2 linked regions of the Cricetulus griseus genome follow. The protein of the gene in region 1 purifies or fractionates together with the protein of each later gene. This does not show direct contact. Links are inferred from orthologs where the notes say so. Each region holds a gene or a part of one and is shown in the gene's direction. Other genes may lie near its edges.

The links.
Region 2: the proteins of Rab1b (region 1) and Gdi2 purify together in Homo sapiens (affinity purification with mass spectrometry; 3 studies listed by BioGRID and IntAct, counting the BioPlex papers as one, with this or other methods). This does not show direct contact. The link is inferred for Cricetulus griseus from reciprocal best matches to the Homo sapiens genes RAB1B and GDI2.

What each region holds. Positions count from the first base shown.
Region 1 is NC_048596.1:54,178,849-54,190,125, forward strand, and holds the start of Rab1b (ras-related protein Rab-1B), read left to right. Parts: upstream 1-4,338; 5' UTR 4,339-4,476; coding exon 4,477-4,490; intron 4,491-6,010; coding exon 6,011-6,083; intron 6,084-6,363; coding exon 6,364-6,459; intron 6,460-6,541; coding exon 6,542-6,637; intron 6,638-9,615; coding exon 9,616-9,747; intron 9,748-9,842; coding exon 9,843-10,037; 3' UTR 10,038-11,277. Other genes in the region: Klc2 (kinesin light chain 2), read left to right, coding at 100-199, 1,008-1,057, 1,149-1,216, 1,613-1,721, 1,811-1,969, 2,042-2,166, 2,328-2,385, 2,787-2,870. UniProt on the Homo sapiens protein: The small GTPases Rab are key regulators of intracellular membrane trafficking, from the formation of transport vesicles to their fusion with membranes.
Region 2 is NC_048596.1:228,626,134-228,636,840, forward strand, and holds part of Gdi2 (rab GDP dissociation inhibitor beta), read left to right. Parts: intron 1-2,137; coding exon 2,138-2,245; intron 2,246-3,423; coding exon 3,424-3,523; intron 3,524-5,826; coding exon 5,827-5,961; intron 5,962-7,107; coding exon 7,108-7,306; intron 7,307-7,753; coding exon 7,754-7,885; intron 7,886-10,707. UniProt on the Homo sapiens protein: GDP-dissociation inhibitor preventing the GDP to GTP exchange of most Rab proteins. By keeping these small GTPases in their inactive GDP-bound form regulates intracellular membrane trafficking.

The sequences.
Region 1 (11,277 bases):
GAAAAGGAGGAGGCAGGGAGAGAGGGCTGATATCCAGGAGGAAGGAAAAGGAAAACTAAGCTTCCTGCATGCTGCTTACCCACTGTCTTTACTTTCCAGGCTTCCTGCTACCTGAAACAGGGCAAGTACCAGGATGCAGAGACCCTGTACAAGGAGATCCTTACCCGTGCTCATGAGAAGGAGTTTGGCTCTGTCAATGGTGAGTCCATGGCTTCCATGTGCCTCCAGTTCATTCAGCAGAAGCACCCAGGACAGTACTTGGCCTTACAGACCTTCCTGCCCAGACTCTGGCAGGAAGCCCAGCCTCACCTGTGGGTGGTGCCTGCAGGAGCCCACTCACTTAATTCATTGCCCTGGCCAGACAAATTGGCAAACCCCATGCTGAGTCTCCTCCTTTCTCTTTCCCCTGCTTTTGTTTTTTGTTTGTTTTTGTTTGTTTATTTTGTTTTGAGACAGAGTCTCAATATATAGCTCTGGCTGTACTGAAACTCAACTATGTAGATCAGGCTGGCTTTGAACTCATGGAGGTTCACTGCCTCTGCCTCTCAAGTGCTGGGATTAAAAGTGTGTGCCACTATGTACATTCTCCACCTTTCTCCACATGACAATTCCTGTTCACTTTGAGGCCCAAGTGTCTTTCCTTCTCAGAAGTAGCCTCTGGCCCCATATTACTAGCCATTTCCTGATGCCCATCCCTCAGCCTGGCCCCTCATTCAAGTGTATCACCAGTCTCTGGTTTAAGGTGTACAAGGGCCTGCCATATCACTCCTAACCCCACCTCATTTATCGCCATTTGACACAGACCTGCGGCCTGTTCATCTGGGTACAGAGGAGGGTCAGTAATGTTTTGGGTTTGGGTTTGCTGCTTGTTCATCTATTCAACAAAACCCAATCCTGGTCCTTTCTACATACTCCTGTCCCCTTCCCCAGACATTAGTCCCTTGTCTAGCTAGCCCAATTGGAAAGACCTATGTGGCAGGCAGGTGACAGTCCCCTGTTCTTCCTAGGAGAGAACAAGCCCATCTGGATGCATGCAGAGGAACGAGAGGAGAGCAAAGTGAGTAGCGCTGTGAGCAGAGCTTCCAAGTGTGCAGAGGGTGTGAGGCTGGGATGTATGGAGCTCCCTAACTGACTGGTCTTTCCCCCAGGATAAGCGCCGGGACAACGCCCCCTATGGGGAATATGGCAGCTGGTACAAAGCCTGTAAAGTTGACAGGTGAGGGCTGATAGGTCTGGGTTAGGGGTAAAGTGAGGACCAAGGAAGTAGTGTCCTTGGTCAGTGAGACCCAGGCCTCACACTATCCTTCGTCTCTGAGACACCTCTCTTCTGTTAGCTCATCTCTCATGGCCTGAACCCAAGAAGACTTTCTGCACTGGGAAAGCTTGGTTCACTCATTCCAGGGTCTCCCAGCTTCTGGTCCTGGTGGCAATGTCCTAGGAGAACTCTAGGGCCAAGCCAGGTTTCTAGCACTAGAATGGTTCTCTCAAGATGGTTCTACCACAGGGGCAGATGAATAGGAAAGGCCAGATTCTGGAGGCCTTTTTGGTCCCCAGAGCCCCATGTGGGCTGCTTGCTGGGTAGAGTTTGAGACTTCCTGCTATCTGTCCACAGTCCCACAGTCAACACTACTCTGCGAAGCTTGGGAGCCTTGTACCGGCGCCAGGGCAAGCTGGAAGCTGCACACACACTGGAAGATTGTGCCAGTCGAAGCCGCAAGCAGGTGGGGCTCCAAGGTGGAGGATGGTGAATTGGGATCTTTGAGGCTCCCTGTGCTGCAGTCAGGGCCTGATGCTTCCTGCCCCCTTTCAGGGCCTGGATCCTGCCAGCCAGACCAAGGTGGTAGAGCTACTAAAAGATGGTAGTGGTGGACGAGGAGACCGCCGTGGCAGCCGAGATGTGTCTGGGGGTGCTGGGCCTCGGTCTGAGTCTGACCTGGAGGAGTCAGGGCCTGCCGCTGAGTGGAGTGGGGTGAGTGTGGGACTAAGATAGGTTCTAAGACTACGAAGAAAGCAGGGCCTAGAGACAATTCTTCCCCCACAGGATGGCAGTGGCTCTCTGCGGCGCAGTGGGTCCTTCGGGAAGCTCAGGGATGCCCTGAGACGTAGCAGTGAGATGCTGGTGAGGAAGCTGCAGGGGGGTGGCCCACAGGAGCCCCCTAATTCTAGGTGAGTTTCTGTCCCTGATTGTATCCTGTTGGCTCCCACGTGACATCACTCCCTCTCAGGAAACACTACCACCACGTCTGCTTTATTCTGCCCCCAAGACTCAACCTGGTGTCCCTTCACTGTTTCACCATGAACAAATCCTGGTCCTCCTTTTCCCTCAGGATGAAGAGGGCTAGCTCTCTCAACTTCCTTAACAAGAGTGTGGAAGAGCCAGTTCAGGTAAGAGTGGAGGGCATCTGGCCTTAGGCAGTCTAGACCCAGGCCCCCACCCCATAGTTCTGGCCCCTTGGTCTATGTATGTCCCCACCCAACTTTTATCTGGTGAGTCTTCATCCAGCAACAGCCCAATTTAGGCTGGGAGGATATAGGTAGAAACAACTAGGGGCAGGCAGGTAAAGGGGAACATAGCCCTTGTCCTGGGGCAGATATATATAGTCAGCCAGTACCAGCTTGAACTCTCAGGCCCTAGGTGTGAGCTAAACTTCAACTCGCTGTATTTACACCAGGACTTGGTCAATCCTTTTCATCATCCCACACTCGTCTGTGTCTCCCTTCCTCTCCCTTCTCTTCACTCCCAGTTACCATGTCTAAGCTACATGCCCTCTCTACTCTGCCCACAGCCTGGAGGCACGGGCCTCTCCGACAGCCGCACTCTGAGCTCCAGCTCCATGGACCTCTCCCGAAGAAACTCCCTCGTGGGCTAAAGCTGAAGGGGCAGCCTGTCTCTAGCCTTCATCTGACACGACCCCTTACCCCAGCCCTGCGCATGGGCCTGCTGCTTGTCCTGCCTGCCCCTCCCAAGGACCCCTGTCTTTTCTGTTCAATCTCAGGGTAACCTCCCTTGTCATCTCAGCCAGGGCCCTGGAGGCCGGGCCTGCCCACCCCAACTCTACTCCTTATTTATTCCTTCCAGCAGGGGGCCTCTCTTCCCTACATTCAGGGCCTGTGGGAGTGGTGGCCTGCCTACCCATCCTCCAAAGCCAAGAACACTTAAGTACTTGCTGTCCTTTAGCATCTTTGACTCCCCCAGCCCTCGGCCGTTGCTTCTGTATATAGAGAAATAAGTTATTGGCCATGTCATCCTCTCAGCCCTCCTCCCTTCAGTCCACGGTATTCCCGGGCCACCACCTGCCTCTCCCTTCTCCAGTGGTACCGCCCAGGCCTTAAATCACCCCTGTTCCGAGTGGTGGTATCTCCCAAGCTCCAAGTTCTAGGAGCAGAACCTCCTGAAAGGGTTCCCGATCTCCTTGCCATCCTGGTTTTGGAGGGATGTGCTCTACCCAACCTTGCAGATGCCCGGACTCCCACAACACCGGGCCCTGTGTTGCCTCCCGGACTTATGCACCGTCCTTTGCTCCCTGCCTCCGCCCCGCCCAGGCATGGCCTGACCCCACCCTGGGCACGGCCCATTGAGCCATCCTGCCACGCCTTCCTTGCCTCAGCTTCCAATGTCCCCTCCACGTACCCCCGCAGTAGGAGGGGCTACCCCATTTGATGGGTGAGGCAATCGCGCTCTCTATTTTCAGATGTTGCTGTAGAAATAAAGACGATTTGAATCTGAGCCAGGCTTGTTTTGAGAAGGCTCAGAACCCCTGAGCATCCCCTAGGGTGGGGTGGAATCTGGTGGAGTGAGGGACACACACATCATGCCCTGTCCCTTGAGACTGGACGTGACATTCTGCCCTTATCCTGAATTGTACGAGGAAATGCTACAGATTTGGGGGTTCTCCTAAAGCATGCCCTTACGGGGTTATAGATAGTTCCGTCTTTGAGTTCTACCCCACAATATGTTCTTGGACTGAATGAGTGTCTCGAGATGATTTTTCATGCATGTGATATTAGTGATGACAGTCCCATCCCACGAAGAACGCTTATAATTCAAGTTTTTCTGGTCCTAAATACGTCGTGCCATCTCGTTCAATGTTTTCAATCTGCAAACCAAGAGGGTGGCTGCCCATCTCAGTTGAACAAAACCATACCTACCCCGGTATGGTTCTAACCTGCGGATTGTCCAAGATACCGCCGCAGGTCGTTCAGGGATTGAGAAGACTACAGACCCCAGAAGGCAGTTCGCGGGTTGCGACTGGAGCGCACGGCCGTGTTGGTTGACTGGGTTGCGCCTGCGCAGCAGTGGCAAATCGAGTATCTAGGAGACTACAGGTTCCACAAGGCAGCGCGGGGCAACTGGAGTCGGAAGTGTTTGCGCCTGCGCGGCGCGGGCGGGGTCTCTAGGGCAGCGCGGCCACCATCTTGGAACGGGAGGCGGAGCAGAGCCGACTGGGAGCGACCGAGCGGGCCACCGCTGCCGCCATGAACCCCGAATAGTGAGTGAGCCCCGCCCGCGCTGTGTGGCGCAGCCTCGATCATGTCTATGGGGCTGTATGCTTATCGAAGTTGTCTGGCCCTGGTCAGAACTGCGCGGCGGACCCCACATCCGGGTCCCTCTTCCGCTGACCCCCCCCCTACATCCGGGTCCTGCCCCTCCCCCCGGGAACCCCTGGACCCCGGCTCAACACCCCGAGTTCTCTCAGTCAAGGCCCGGAGGCGACAGCCTCGAAGGGCAGCACTTGGAGCCCGCAGCGCCGGCCCTCCCAGGCCTTTTCGGTTGTGACCCTGCAGATTGGTCTCCCTGAGCCTCAGTTTCCCCACCGCTGCTTGACCACGGGCAGGCGGTTTGGAGTCCATCGTAATAATTTCTGGTCCCCAGAGTCGAGTACTTTCAGATTGGCCGTGAACCACTCTGCCTTTAACTTTCTTCTGAGGCCGGTTTTCCGGGCTGGCCCAGACAGAAGCTGACCAGACAAGGGGAGCCCAAGCCCCTGCTTGATTCACATCCCTGCAGGTCCTAACCTCTGGGGCTGACATTTGCCCTGCCTGGGTCGCACTATCCTGTGGCTCCCGTGTCCGTCCTTTTCTGCCCTCTCACCTTTGCTCAGGCCTCCAGTGCCACTGTCACGCGGCTTCCCTCACCTGTCACACTGCCAGAGAACTTTAGGTGTGGGATTTGCTAGCTCGCTTGGAGTGGGATTTTTATTCCTCAAACTCAAACCCTTGGAGTAGATGGCCCACATACAGTTTTGCACCCGTGTTGTCTTCTTCCCCTTCCCCGCTTCCTTTTTCTTCCCCAGCTCTAGGCCTCAGATTTCCTTGAGAGAGGGTGAAGCTCATCAGGGTTAGGAGGGGAACAGAGAAGGGAGGCTCAGGCTGTCACAGAGTCTGACAGACCTAGTCTCCAGTCTCACAGTTAGCCACTGCTTAGGGTAAGTCATTTATTTCCCTTCTCTGACCTGTGGTTTCCTCACTTGGTTGCACTGTTGTGAGGTTTTAATGAGACGATGTATTTAAAGGACTTCACACAGGACCAGTTACAGTTCAGGAAGTATTAACTGCTGCCTCCATGGTCACTTGTTGACTGCCTCTTATTAGTGACTTCATCTCAGGCTCTTTCACACTTGTTTTGACTTCATGTGTTCCAGCATTCATTTTAGGGTCCTAGGCTGGCACACTATAAGGCCTAGTGTGGGTTTCCTAAATAATTCCTACAAAACAGCACCAGAGTCTCAGCTCTGGCACCCAGCTGGTTGTTCCTTGGTAAATTGTGTTCCTTTATTTTGCCACAAAGTGAGAATTCAGACATAGCAAGCTGAAGGTGTTGTGGGCTAGCTTATTGGGGATAGTAAGGGTCTATTTTTTGTCCCTTTTCAGGACAGTGGGAGGATCTAGTGAGCACCATGACATACTAAGCAGAAGCATGCTTCCCTGTACTGTCATGCTCACTGCAGGGGCAGGGGTGGCAGAGGGAACTTCTTGCCTGCCTTCATACCTTCCCATCTTCTCTTGCCAGTGACTACCTGTTCAAGCTGCTTTTGATTGGTGACTCGGGTGTGGGCAAGTCGTGCCTGCTCCTGCGGTTTGCTGTGAGTAAGAAGCACCCCCATGATATCCACCTGGGGTCCTAGCTGGCCACTGGGAGGAAAGAGGGACAACTCAGAACACAGTAGTTGCAAGAAAGACCTGAGAACCAAGAATGAGGTTGCCGGAGCTGCCAGAAGAAGGGCCCAGGCCTCGAAAGTTGGGGTGCTTAGAACTAAGACTTGGCAGTGAGGAGCACAACAGGGGTAGGGAGCTGGAGGGAGGACTTTCAAATAGTTTTTGGGCCTGTCTGTTCAGGCTATTTGACTGGCCCCAACCTTTCAGGATGACACATACACAGAGAGCTACATCAGCACTATCGGGGTGGACTTCAAGATTCGAACCATTGAACTGGATGGCAAAACCATCAAACTTCAGATTGTGAGTATGGCTTTTCTACAGCACTGAGAGAGAAGTGAGGGTTCCCTTGTGGCTGACCTACCCTTTTCCTCCTGTCTCATAGTGGGACACAGCTGGTCAGGAACGGTTCCGGACCATCACTTCCAGCTACTACCGGGGGGCTCATGGCATCATCGTGGTGTACGACGTCACTGACCAGGTACTCCTGGACTTACCTCCCAGACTTGCTTCCTGAGCCTTGACTTTTTTGTTTTGTTTTGTTTCTCAAGACAGGGTTTCTCTTTAGCTTTGGAGGCTGTCCTGGAACTCACTCTGTAGACCAGACTGGCCTTGAACTCACAGAGACCTTCCTATCTCTGCCTCCCGAGTGCTGGGATTGAAGGCGTGTGCCACCACCGCCTAGCCTGAGCCTTGACTTTTGACTCTTACTCCTTTTCCTGTTTTCATTTCCCTTAAGCTTTCTGGAAGGTAGACACCATGCTGAATTGCTTCATAAAAAGGGCTACAAGCCACAGAATCGGATCCTACCAAGACCCTGTCATGAAGTCTTTATGGAACCAGACTTCATGGCTCCTGCTACCTTATTATAGACCTTCCAGACTACCCGTCTTTGGTGGCAGTTAGTCAGTTGGTTGGTTACTGCTGGTTCCTTGCTTCCTAAAGTCTGCAGACAGAGCAATTGGAAGGCTCTAAACAAGAAAGTGAGAAGCCCAGCGTAAACAGAAGTTCTGGAATACTGTGTCTCCTGTGGTGGGGTCAGCAGCCAGAAATTGTCCTTACAGTGTCTCACAATTTATAAAAACTGTGGTCTTTAGCTTTCCTTGGTTGCTTACCCCACAAAATGGCTCTATTGCCAACCTGACCCAAATTCCTGGGTTTAAGTGACCCTCCTCCTAAGCCTCCCTGGTAGATGGAGCTACTGGGTACTCACCCCTGTGCCTAGCTTTTGACGCTCATGAGAAGCCCCTCATATTTACACCTTAAAGATGAAGACTTGGTTCAGGCTGGGGCCGTGACTTGCTAAGTTAGTTAGTGGCAGAGGCCAAAAGCCTAGTCTCCTGATCCATCTGCTTTGCTTTTTCTGCCAATCAGTACTGGGCTGGGAGAGTTCCTGCTTTGGGGGGCAGTGGCCACGTAACAGATACTCCTGATCCCCGTGCCTTCATCTCCCAGCCCTTCTAACAAGCTAGGTGAGCCAAGTGCCACTCAGATCACCAAGGCTTTAATTAACTGTTAGATCCAGTCATCTTCTTGCCAAGATTGACTCCTTTGACTTTGTACTGTTTTCTTCTCTTTCCTCAAAAATATTATCTGTATTAGCCCTTGTCCCCCAATAAGCAGACACTCTGCCAGTGAGCTACAACCCCAATCCCTTTGGTCTCTTTTTTATTGGCTCACCCTTGCTACCCATTAACCCCACATTTTCTGCATCCTAACTAACTCCAGCCACTTCTGTGGTTTGGCTTTTGTCTTGTGTTCTGGGACTCTTGATGTATGTTTTGAAATTCTTATGTCCAGACAGATGTCACATGGGTTCCATCTCTTGTGTGCTTGCACTGGCCCCTGGTGTCTGTAATGGGAATAATCTTCATGCTCTTACCCGGTGAACTAAATGGTGAGGCCTCTGTGCCCTAGTTTGCTTTCTGTTGCCACAGTAAACACCAGGTGGGAGGAAAGGGCTTGGCTCATCGGGTAATAGTCCATCATCTGATGAAACCAAGGCATGAATTCAAGCAGGAGCCAGGGGGAAAGGTGCCTACTGTTTTGTTCCCCATGGGTTGCTCAGCTTGCTTTCTTAGACCACCTAAGGCCACCTGCCAAAGGGTGACACTGCACAGTGAGCTGGGTCATCAACCATCAATCAAGAAAATCCCTATAGACATGCTCACATGACAGTCTGATGGAGGAAGTTCCTCAGTTTAGATGCCCTTTCCAGATGCTTAGGTAGGTTTGTGTCAAGTTGAACAATGCTAACTAAGCCAGGCGGTGGTAGCACATGCCTTTAATCCAACACTTGGGAGGCAGAAGCAGGCAGATTTCTGTGAGTTCAAGGCCAGCCTGGTCTACAGAGCGAATTCCAGGACAGCCAGTCTACACAGAGTAAACCCTGTCTTGAAAAACAAAAAATGTAACTAGTATACCTTGTTTCCTACATGAAGAACTTCTTTTCCAGAGGTGTTAGTAACTTGCCTCTGATGTCCCAGTAAAGAAAGACAAAGCCCTTTCTCTGCCTTCAACTGCCTCTATGAGCTCCATACCAGCTGCAGGATTCAGATTCTAGTGCAAGCTTCTCCATCTCCCCTGCCCGCCTTCTGCATCCTCATTTTGTAATATAATTCTTGTGTGACCAGAAAACTTCCCTTCTCCATAGTTAGTCTCAAGACACCTCTATTCTCTCCCCATCATTTCAGATCTGTCCCTTCATAATAATAGCAGTAATGAGGATAATAGCAGCTCTTGCTAATTGAGCACTTGTTATGAGACAGGCCTGGTGCATTCATTCCTCGTACAAACAGCAGCTCTGCTGGGAGGTATTATCTGAACAAAAGAGGAAACTGAGACCCAGGTCAGGTGACTAGATATCTGAAGTCACATAGATGATCAAGTTTGGACGATAGCCTACCGTCTAAACCTATTCTCTTCTAGATTATTCTAGCTACTTCTCCGTTGCTCTGCATTTTGTTAGTGTGATCTAATCCTGCCCAGACCCTATTTCCAGAACACAGATAGACTCCAGTTACTCTTGAGCTGAGAAAACCCTCACTGTCTCATGGGCATGCCAAGTTTATACAGGCTAAGACCTTTTCAGCTCTGTCCTGCCTACCCCTTACCATTTCCTCCCAACCTGCAACCTGGTGTTTTCCCACTTCCCACTCCCCAAAGACACCACACCCTCCCATCCTAGCAGATGCTGTCTCCTCAGCTGGTAGCTTTTGCATTAGTTGAGTCCATGCCTGCAAGCTGGAGTCAGCCACTGGCTGGTGACTACTCTGTTCTGGTTCTAGTTCTTGGGTTGCCACATGGAAGAGAACCAGGGGGGAAACTAAGCCTGAAGTGGGGGAGACTTGAGTTGTATCCCCATGCTCAGGGCTCCTACCTTTCCCTCAAAGGAGCCCTGTTCTCCAGGCCTGGCTAGACTGGGTTTGGGAGTTCAGTAACTTTGGACACTGTGCCTAGGAGTCCTACGCTAATGTGAAACAGTGGCTACAAGAGATAGATCGCTACGCCAGTGAGAACGTCAATAAACTCCTGGTAGGCAACAAGAGTGATCTCACCACCAAGAAGGTCGTGGACAACACCACAGCCAAGGTGAGCAGGGCCAGCCCTGGCTGTCAGGGGGCCAGGGCTCACTTCCCTTCACCCCTTCTCTCCCTTGCCCTTATCTCTTTTTTTCCCCTTGGCAGGAATTTGCAGACTCTCTGGGTGTCCCCTTCCTGGAGACGAGTGCCAAGAACGCCACCAACGTTGAGCAGGCATTCATGACAATGGCTGCAGAGATCAAAAAGCGGATGGGGCCAGGAGCAGCTTCTGGGGGTGAACGGCCCAACCTGAAGATCGACAGCACCCCTGTGAAGCCAGCTAGTGGTGGCTGTTGCTAGGAAGGGCACTTGGGGAAGGGACACCTTCTCCAGATGATGCCCCTGGAGGGGCAGGAAGTGCCTCCCTCTCCTAGGGCATTTGAGTCTGTGGCTTTGGGGTGTCCTGGGCTCCCCATCTTCCTCTGGCCCATCTGCCTTCTGCTCTGAGTGCTGTCCTGTCAGGGCCCCCTTGGAGGACATGCAGAACCTGTGGCAGGGGTGGTCACAGGAACTGCTCTGCTGCTGCCTCTAGGTACCTTGAAAAGATGCCCACCATGCACCTTTCTTTGGAATGAGGGCTCAGCTGTCTGTCACTCACCCCCATGTATGCTGCACTGGGCTTCTCCCTCCCTCCTTTCCTTCCTTCCTTCCTTCCTTCCTTCCTACCTTCCTTCCTTCCTTCCTTCCTTCCTTCCTTCCTTCCTTCCTTCCTTCCTTCCTTCCCAGTAGCTGAGGGCCTCCCTGCCTCTGCTTCCCTGGCTGCAGGCAGTGGCCAGGGGATCCAGGGTCTCAGATCCAGGGTCCTGCTTCGGACCTCAGGACAGGCAAGGGGGCTGCAAAAAGCCAACAGCCCACTTTTTCCTCACCCCTGCCTCCCTCCACCGCTCCCACACTCAGCTTGAGCCGTCCAGCTACTGTTGGGTCTTGAGCACAACTAGGGTAGGTGGGCGGATGGCTGTGCTGGGCCTGTGTCTCAAGCCCAGAGGGAGCCTGCTCCTGCCTCCCCCTGCCCTGCCAGAGCCAGGCCTATGTGCTGCCTGCCCACCAAGCCCCTTTGTCCCTGAGAAAGGCGGAGGTGGAAGGCCCACCGTGCCAATGGCCGGGCACCAGCCTTAACCCTTACTCTGCCAGCACCACTTTCTTCCCCTGAGGCAGCACATCTGGCTTCTAATCCCTCCGTTCCTCAGAGCCTGAGGGGGCCAGACCTACTTCTCTGGGGAATGTAGGGGCCACTTGGGGTTGTGGGACTCTCTCCCCTTCCCCACTCAGAATCCCGCCCCACCCCCACCCACCCCCCCACCCTCTGGCACAGCTTCCTGCAGAAAACCTTTGGTGATTACCTGAGAAGCCATGTCCTTTGTGCTGTGGTCTTGCCAGTCTCACCCTCCCCTCCCCTCCCCTCCCTTTCTCTCCCCTCCAGTGTGTATTTAAAATCCCTGGGCTGCCCCTCTGGGAGGGAGCCTCTTCTCCCAGGTTCCCCTTTGGTGTCATGTCAGGCATTTTGCAAGGAAAAGCCACTTGGGGAAAGATGGAAAAGGAT
Region 2 (10,707 bases), about 170 Mb from region 1:
ATGTGGGGGTGATAGGGAGGGCTATAATCAGGTGGATCCTGAGGCTTACTTCCAGGCTGTACAGCCGAATCATTATAAGACTTTTCTCAAAAAATTAAGGTAGATAGCAACTGAGGAAGACACCCAATATAATCTCTGATTTCCATACACACATAGGTGCTTGATATATTCCAGTACACTCCTAAAACAGTCATGTGTAGTGCACGCGCGCGCGCGCGCGCACACACACACACACACACACACACACAGTCTCTCTCTCTCTCTCTCTGTCTCTGTCTCTGTCTCTCTCTCTCTGTCTCTCTGTCTCTCTCTCTCTCTCTCCAGTCACTTAGGAACTCTGAGCTTATTGTGAACAATACAGATCTTCGGAGTGTTGGGTATTTCATTTGATGATATGAAAAGTCTAGTCTGTCTTGTATGGTGTGTTGGAACATGCCAGCACTCCTGGGTGGGAAGGTAAGAGGATCTCTAGTTTACTAGTTCTTGGCCAGCCTGGTATGCTACATAACAGCAAGACACAATCTTAAGATAAAAGAATGAGAAAGAATCAGCTGTTTCTAGTAACACTCTAAAAAGTCCTGTTAAGTATTGGACCCCATGATGGTAGATGAGTGTTCCAAGATTATTTTGGTATTCATAAATTGTACTTTATTGGTAACAAATGACAGTTTGTCTTTATTATTATTGTTATTATTATTATTATTATGTTTATGGTCTTTTGCTTCTATGTATGTTTGTGTACCATGTCCTTGCTAATACCCATTGGAGGCTAGAAAAATGCTGTCATATCCCTTGGAACTAAAGGACAGGTGATTGTGAACTGTCTTGTGGGTGTTGGGGATCAAACCCCGATCCTCTGGAAAAACAGCTAGTGTTTTTAATCTTTGCACTATCTCTCCAGCCCCCAACTGCTGCATCCTTGTAGGGATGAAGGGATGGATCTGAGTTGGGTGGCAAAGGAATGAAGAAAAGACAAACACACAGACAGAGGTGGACTGGGCTTTCTGCTGAAAAAGCCTCAGCTTTCTGGAAGCTCGGTGGTGTGTATTACATAGAGTTGAACAGAGATGGGTTTATTGCATGCAGCTGAACAGGGAGGCTTGTTTTTTACATTCAGACAAACAACGATGCTGCATTTACATTATATTGCCAGCCTAAGGAGACAGGGTTAGGAAAGCTTGGCAGGATCTGTTGGGAAGCAGTGGGTGGTGGTGCTGAAAGCTATGGCAGACATTTTTTCTGTATACACTGCCAAACATTTACACTTGGACAAGGAGGGAAGGCTTTGCCATTTCCCTGCCTCTGTCTGAGAGGAAGTCTGCCATTTTATAGGAGCATGGCCATGTCAACAATATACACTTACCGTCTCAGGACTTCCTCCTTTTCCATACCCACTGTGTATCAACTTCTAAGATGTTCATTTTTGAAAAAAATGTTTACCAAAGCTGAATAATCGTAGTTCTCTCAAATAAAAATGGTGACTCATAGAACAAAGTGTCTACATACAGCCTGTAAATAAGTGGCACTAAAGATTTTCCTTGAGCTGGAAGTGCTGTATGGCACTTCAGTTTTGTCACGAGCAGTGTATGAAAAGGTGGGTATTTCAGATGTGCCTTTATTAAGTTAAATCTCAGTGCCTCTTGGACGACCTTAGTGAATGCCTGGTAGGAAACAGTAGAGTGGCAGGCTGTAGTTGAAAGCCTCTGCCTTTGTCTGTCCACCTGTGATATGGCATTACTATAAATGACAGCCCAGTAAACAACAGTGACTGGTACAAGCCCTTATTGTGAAACCAATTTTCACCTGGGAACTCACAGGAACCCAAGAGAGGCTTTAAGCCTGCTGGTTTTGTTATGGTGAGCAAGTGTTTTAATTACTATGAGACTGCTAGTGAGTTTACTTTTTTTTTTTTTTTGGTTTTTCAAGACAGGGTTTCTCTGTGTAGCTTTGGAGCCTATCCTGGCACTCGCTGTGGAGACCAGGCTGGCCTCAAACTCACAGAGATCCGCCTGCCTCTGCCTCTGCCTCCAGAGTGCTGGGATTAAAGGTGTGTGCCACCAATGCCCAGAGAGCTTACTTTTTAATAAAGAACCATTTTAGCATGTTATGTGTGTGGCTTTTCTTCTTTTAACCTTAGGAGTGTATCCTGTCAGGGATAATGTCAGTGAATGGAAAGAAGGTTCTTCACATGGATCAGAACCCGTACTATGGAGGAGAAAGCGCATCTATAACACCACTGGAAGATGTAAGTCTCTGTGGTCAGTGCATCTTTTATGTGTAGGAATTACTTGTGAATCTCCACTTTAGTTTTTGGAGATGGTCTAAATTTTGGCTCATTATTATTGCTAGTTGGGGGGTGGGGGGGATGAGACAGGGCCTCTCTTTCTCTACCTAGCCCTGGCTATCCTGGAGCTCACTATATACACCAGGCTGGCTTCAAGCTCACAGAGCTCCCTACACTTTTGAGCACTGGGATTAAGGGTATGAAACACCATGCCTGGCAGTTTTGGCTTATTAAATATTCTACTTAATAAATCTTCAGCTTCCAGGGTGCTGGATTATAGGTATGTACCACTAGATCTTGCTTTTTTATGGCTTTGAAAAGTGGAAAGTAAAAAAGACATTGTGGCACTTGACCTAAATACTTCGGCTTCCATCTGTTAAGGATGGCATTTTCTATGCCATCATAATGCCACTACATTTATGAAAATGAACGATATTTAAATTATATTCAGATTTCCAGTAACTCAGAGAGTGATATTTAGGTCTTCAGTACACTTTGGTTTTTAAAATCAGTTTTTAATTAACTAAAGATTTGAGCGTTGTATGTGTTTCTTCTCTGTTCTCTTAATCTACAAGTCTCACTACCTTTCCCCTTCTCCCTTTCCCTTTGGAGAAGTACAGGCTACTAGTTTGAAAGAAATTGTTGATTATTTCATACTGTATCATGCTGGGAGGCACTCGTTGGAGGTGAATGTGTGCTTAGTATTCTTTGGTGTAAACTTATGTTCACACTTATCAAAGTGTTTACATTGTGTGTGCAATTTTTAATCATCAGTTGTATTTCAGTAAAGCCTAAAAACTAAAAGCTAGAAAGAACTAGTTTTAACTATCTTTTCTAGATTTGAAGTATATAATTTTTTTTTAACTTGTGTAGCTAGAGAAGCAAAATTAGGGGGAATGAGATTCAACAATTAGTGGGAAAGACTTCTGCAATGCTTGTGTATCTTAGCATTCACGAGTTACATACTGTATTTAATTACATAATATATTGAGACTTGAAAGTCTTATCTGACTAAAAGTTTACTTGACAGATAAAAGTTTTATCTGATTAAAAATAAAATGATTTGTGTTTTACCTCTTATAGTTGTATTATACCTCAGCCTCTCGTTACATTATAGGTATTTTTTTTTCTACTTTTAGTTATACAAAAGATTTAAGTTACCAGGACAACCACCAGCATCAATGGGGAGAGGAAGAGACTGGAATGTTGACTTAATTCCCAAGTTCCTTATGGCCAATGGTAAAGAATGCTAGCATTATTTATGACTGTATGGAATCTGGGTTGGAAGTAGAGAACATTATCCCAGGTCTGAGGCCCTGGGGAATTGGTTGATGTCAATAGTATGTTTAGTAATATGTTTCATTAAAAGTGTCTGGAGTCTAATTAAGAATGGAGGGAAGGAGGTATAGAAAATAGCTCTGAAAAGAAACAAAAGCATGATGTGACACAGTGCATGTTAAAATTGAAGATTTTGTAGTATATATTATATATGTATGTAAGAAACTATAGACATTTCACACAGTTAGAAACATTTGTTGCAAATCTGGTGTGGTGTAGTACAAACAAAAATTCTAAATATAATAACATTGTAAGTACCTTCGAGAGACTTTGGGAGCCTGAGTCTTAAATGGTCTTTTAAAGGCTTTCTAGTGTGTAAGCTGTTGAGATCACCTAATTTCTCAGGATTTTAGAGGACTGAACTATCTTAAAATTTCTGTGGTGTCTATTTTTTTCTAAGATGGTATTAAAAAATGAGCCAGGTGCAGTGGTTTACACCTGTAATCCCAGTACTCAGAAAGCTGAGGCAGGAAGATTGCTGATAATGTGAGACTTTCCTGTGCTACAAGTAAACTTTAAGTCATCCATGTCTCACAGTGTGAGGCTCTGTCTGGAAAAATAGAAAACAAAGGAAAAACTAAATTTTTTGTTACAAATTTATTTCCCATGAAATATAGTATGTGTTATTCTTTTTCTTTTTTTGAGTTACATTTTATAGTTTGTATTATAGATACATTGTTTGAATGTTCTTTTAAATTTAAATAATTGAATTCTTGTAAATTATCCAAGTTTGTATAGTCTAGGCAACATTAACAGTAAGCAGGAAGGAAACAAAATTTGCATAGTCAGAATCCCACTATCTGGATTTTTTTTTTTTCTTTGCAGTGCTAGGGATAAAACCTTAGATTTAATTGTGCTTAACATTTTGATGTTTGAGATACACATATGCATAGTCCCAGTTCCCATGCAGTTTTCAGCCAGTGTATAATGTATGTGTAGGGGGTGTAAGAGGGAGGAAAGGAGTGTGTGTGACTGATGACAGATAGCATTGGGTACCCTTAGGAGAGAATTATGGATTTTTGTTTGTTTGTTTGTTTTTGTTTTTTGAGACAGAGTTTCTCTGTGTAGCTTTGGAGCCTATCCTGGCACTCGCTCTGTAGATCAGGCTGGCCTCGGACTCACAGAGATCCGCCTGCCTCTGCCTCCCGAGTGCTGGGATTAAAGGCGTGCGCCCGGCAAGAATTATGGATCTTTTTCAGAAGGCTTTTTCTGTTTATTACCACATTTGGCTTTTGCCTTTCCCAGTACCGTTATCAACCAGCCCTTGATAGTATTCATTTTTGTTTCTGCCATTTGCCATTGTAAGGTAAAATTTGAATTTTTACCATAAATCTGTCCATTAGAGGGTGGAATGAGTTTTAGTTATTGACCAGCTTTCCTGTTTATTGGTGAATTGACTTATTTTCTATTAAGTTGTGTTCTCCTTGCAATGAACTCCTTATAGATATCACCTCTCTGAAGACACAGGGGCAGCCTTTGTAGACAGGGACTTTGCTGCACAATTCTATTGCATGTGTTTTTCTTTATAAAACATTCGTTGGTCTTTTAAGGTCACAAGGCTTAATAATGGGGCCAGTTGATGTAATTTTTCAGTGTACTTTAATCTCTGCTGCATGAGAATCTCTTTATACTTTATTTCCTTAATTTTTTTTGTTGTTGTTCTGGAGTTTGAATACAGGGTCTCACACATGCTAGATAAATGTTTTTACACTAAGTTATGTCCCCCAGCCCTAACTTCAAAAATGATGTGACTACCCTGTTGTAGTTATCCTTTCAAATCATCTTTAAAATGGTTTTGGTCTCACAAAACTTTTGGCTGATTTGGGTAAGTGAGCCTCCTTGGTCTTATAGGCAGATGGGATTCCTAATTGTAGTCCTTAATCTATTTGATGTTGATATACTCTTAATAAATATAAGTAGACTTAGAAATTGAAATATTTGGAATTGTCTGTGACTGATACAGAACTGCAAGGTTGCCTCAATTCACTCACCAGTACATATTTCATGGCCTTTGTTAGCCTACAAGTTGTAACATTAAGCTTAAACGTATGCTTAAGGTGTGAATTTCTAGTCATACCATTGAAAACACAGCTTTGGGGGCTTCTTGGTAAGGATTGCTATACAATTCTTTAGGAAAATTTTGGGTGCTAAGTTTTATTGGTAGTAAGGTTTGAGTGACAGCTTGCATTACATGACTTTTTCAGGTCAGTTGGTGAAGATGTTACTTTACACAGAGGTCACTCGCTATATGGATTTCAAAGTGATTGAAGGGAGCTTTGTCTACAAGGGAGGGAAAATCTACAAGGTTCCTTCCACTGAAGCAGAAGCACTGGCATCTAGTAAGTAATTCTCATTTATCAGAATGACACGATTTTTATGGTGAAAAGGAGTCCCAGAAACCTATTTGTCTAGTCAACAGATAGTTATAGTGCCAGACACTCATTTAGGCCCTTCTTAATGTTCTGTTCTGTTTAGGAGAGGAGGGGAAAGGATGTGAAACTAGAAGTTTTCTTAGCTTTTTCTTAGTACCAGCTATATGCTATTAGTAGGAGTACTGACTCAAGAGAGCTTGGGATTTAATTCTCTCTCTCTCTCTCTCTCTCTCTCTCTCTCTCTCTCTCTCTCAGCTTTTTTTTAAATATTAATTTAATATTTTTAGACAAGGTAATGTCCCATGTATTCCCCCCCCCTTTTTTTTTTTTTTTTTTTTTTGGTGTTCAAGACAGGGTTTCTCTGTGTAACAGCTCTGGCTGTCCTGGAACTCACTTTGCAGACCAGACTTGCCTCAAACTCAATGAAATCCACCTGCCTCTACCTCCCTGGTGCCGGGATTAAAGGTGTGTGCCACCACCACCCAGCTCAGTGTGTTTCTTTTAAAGATATTTTATTTTTATTGTGTGTGATTATTTGCCTGATATGGGTGCTGGGACCCTAACTCAGGTCCTCTGCAAGAGCAGCAAGCTCTCCTAACTGATGAGCCATCTCTCCAGCCCTGCTTATAGCTGTTTTTTTAAAAGTGTGTAGAGCAGCTCACCGATTGTTTAAGTTTCATTAAAGTAAGTGACCCACAGGGCGGTCAGCTTCTAAAGGTAGTTGCTGTTAATTCTTCATGGTGTCTTCAGTGTCTTTTCCCATTAGGTCTAAGAGTGTGTCTTACAGCCGAAAGAGGGGAAAGGAGCAGCATTCATAATTTTGGGAACTGGCTGAGTTACAGATGTGCATTGTTAGAGGAAAAATAACAGTATAGATGCCTTTGGAACAATGTTTTCAAACTTTCAGCTTCTCTAAATATGTACTCTGTACCTGAAGTTTTGGGGTAAAATTGAAGACTTTATGGGTGATGTGTTTTAAAGTGTTGTGCCCCTGGGAACCATGTTATCTAGATCCCCTGTTATATTAATTATATTTGTTGAGTCATGAAATTGATGTTTAAAGTGTCAGTGTCCTATTGTGAGTATGTGCTTTTTGAAAAAATATTTTTTCAGGTTTAATGGGACTGTTTGAAAAACGCCGCTTCAGGAAGTTCCTAGTTTATGTCGCCAACTTTGATGAAAAAGATCCTAGAACTTTTGAGGGCATTGACCCTAAGAAGACCTCCATGAGAGATTTGTATAAGAAGTTTGATTTGGGCCAAGATGTTGTAGACTTCACTGGCCATTCTCTTGCACTGTACAGAACAGATGAGTAAGTAGACTAATGAATCCATTGGTGGCTCTGCACAGGCTGTGAGATGTTTGCCAGCAGTGACAGGTCTGTTGTACTGAAGTTGGATTTAGGCAACTTTGCAGTTCCCTAATCCATATCATAGACAGTTCCAAACACTTCAATTTCTAGTCAGCTTATTTGAAGAGAGTATCAACAGTAGAGAGAGAGGGTTCCAATCAGAAACTTTTGGTTTTCAGATTTACAGTTTTTTTAAAAACATTGAACTGAATCTCTCTCTCATTTTCCAAATGGTAGACATAGGGTTTGTAGGTTGTTGTGTGGCCCGGTGAAAGAGATTCTAGTAGCATATTAGTGTTAGGGCCTTTTAAGAGAAATGAGAGGGTAGTAGTTTGAAATCGCTTCAGAAAAAGAGTTTAAAATAAACAAGAAGTAGTCTTTTTCTAATGTTGTTTTAATTCTTCCCAGCTACTTAGATCAGCCGTGTTGTGATACCATTAATAGAATTAAACTTTACAGCGAATCTTTGGCAAGATATGGTAAAAGCCCATACCTTTATCCCCTCTATGGCCTTGGAGAATTGCCACAAGGATTTGCAAGGTGAGTGCCTGTTTAACCCGTTAGCTGTAACCCTGCTGATCTTAGACTTCATCCTGCCTACTGTAAGTGAAAAGTGTCTCTGAATAGTGAGATGCTATTTATTTGTTTTATGTTTTTTATATTAAAATCATTATCTTTATTATTACTATTTTGGTGTTTCGAGACAGGGTTTCTCTGTGTAGCATTGGCTGTGCTGGAACTCGCTCTATAGACCAGGCTGGCCTTGATTGAACATACATACATACATACATACATACATACATGTGTGTGTGTGTTTATTTATCTATCTATCTATCTATCTATCTATCTATCTATCTATCTATCTATCTATCTATCTATCTATTTATTTATTTTGGGGGGCGGTTTTTCTGTAGCTTTGGATATCCTGTCCTGGAACTCACTCTGTAGACCAGGATGGCCTTGATTGAACCTATGTTTTAATGCCCAAGTAGGTAGGATATGCCACAATATTATAATTCCATCTTTTAAAGGTGGTTTTGAACACCTTTAATCCCCGCAACTGGGAGGCAGTCGGATCTCAGTGAATTCAAGGCTGGCCTGCTCTACAAAATGAGTTCCAACACAGCCAGGACTATTTATACAGAGAAACTCTGTCTCAAAAGAAAAAAAGAAAAAAAGGGGGAGGGGAGGGAGGCTGGAGAGATGAGAGCACTCAACTATCTGGTCTTCCAGAGATCCTGAGTTCAATTTCCAGCAACTACATGGTAGCTCACAACCATCTGTAATGAAATCTGGCGCCCCCTTCTGGCCTGCAGGCATACATGCAGGCAGAACATTTTATGCATAATAAATCTTTTTAAAAAAAGTTTTGTATTTTGATAAAGTCCAGTATATCAAACTTATTTTACAATGCATCTTGAGTACTATGAAATCTTTGCTTAGCCTAAGGGCCAGAGAAGCTTATAGTTTTGCTTTTTTATGTAACTGCTATAATTTACCTTGAAAGAATGTTGATGCCTAAGTGAGGTATGGTTTGAGCCTCTGCCCCCTAATCTGTGGTATTTACTTGTCCCATCTGCATTTACAGTGTGTCTCTGTGTCTCTGTGTCTGTTTCATTTCCCAGTGGTCTTGTAGTAATGCTTAGGTCTAGTTTGGAGGCTGCTTTTGTTCAGATTTAATTTGTTTTTTTCCTATGGCTTTACCACATTTGTCCTGCTTTTTATAATTTTGTAGATAGGTCTTAGAAGTCAAGTGATGTAACTCTTCCCACCGTATATCTTCAAAATTTATTTTGGTTATTGTAAGTTCTTTGCTACTTTTTAGACTCAGGCTGTCAGTTTCTAGGAAAACTGGCTAGGTTTTTTATTGGAACTGGATTGTCTGTACATCAATTTGTGACAAATTCCCATTGTACTAAGTCTTCTGATCCACGCCTGTGTTTAGGTTTGTCTCTAGTATGCTTTTCAGATAACTTTGTTCAGATTTATTTAGAAGTATTTTATTTTGATACCGTTGTTAATTCTTTATTTTGAAGTTGTTCAGTGCTAATGTATATAATGCCCAATTAAGTTTTCTGTATTAACTTTGCTATGCTCGTTTTACTAGTTCAGTTATTCTGATGGACTTAACATAATTTTCCATGTACATAGTATGCCGGCTGTGAGTACAGAGAGACTAGGTTTTTTTTCCCTTAAAATATATATGCATTATGTTCTCTTCCACCCTTGCTTTTATTGTTCTGGCTAGGACTAGAAGAATGTTAAATTGGCAAGAACAAACATTCTTGTCTTGTTCCAGTCTTAGAAAGAAATATTAAGTATTTTCTGTTAATTGTTTTGTGAGATTAAATTCTCATCATAGTTTATGCAGTTTTTTGTTGTGAGTGGGTTGTCATTGAGTTGTGGTGTAGCTTGTCTGTGTATGCTGTTAATATGCTGAATTACATAAAGTTGAATTTTGGTACTGGGTGTGGTAGCACATAGGTAAGCCCTGAACAATTGTGCTACATCCTCAGGCTCACCTTTGTTTATCTGAAAATATTTTACCTTCTTTTTGAAAGACTTTGTTGGTTGTAGCCTGTTTTCATTTAGCACATTGGAAATAGCTTTCCCCATGACTGGTTTTGGCTTGAATGACAAAGTGGCTGTCCCTGAGTTCTTTCTTCTGGTATTTTGAGTTTTTCTCTGTCAATGATCTAGCTTTCAAGATTTTCTTCAGTTTCTGACAGTCTTGCTGTTTGAATATTTAGATTACTTTCAAAAGAACCAAATGCAGAATTTTAGGTTATTATTTATCCAGCTATTTGAGCACATTTTCCTTCTCTCTTGGAGCACCAATCTCTTGTGTATTAGGTCTTTGGCATTACACCATTCCCTGTGTTGATGAGGCTCTGTTCATCTATCTGTCTTTTGTAATTTTTTTTTTTCTCTTTCTCATTTTGGGTGATGTGCCTTTGTCATAAATTCCATCCCTTTCTCCGCCTCTTTCTTCTGTGTAGTACTGGGATTGCTATGAGAGCTTTACTGAATGTTAAACAACACTTCTACCATTATATGTGTGAGCACATGCATGCTGCATGTATAGCAATATCTTTATTTTTCATATGAAAGAAAAAATGAGGTATTTTACTCTTTTGTCTCCCATTAGTTTTCTTTGTTCTTTGCTTGCCCTTTCAGTCCTCTTCCACATAGACCCCCCCCTTCTACTTTGCCATACATGGATATGTATATATGTATTTATTAATATTACATTATGTTGTAAATATATAGAGAAACATTTATTCAGCTCTAAGTCCTTTATTTGAGGGAAAAATGATTTTTTTAAAGTCTCTTATTTTGATTAATGTGATTTCTGGATCTAT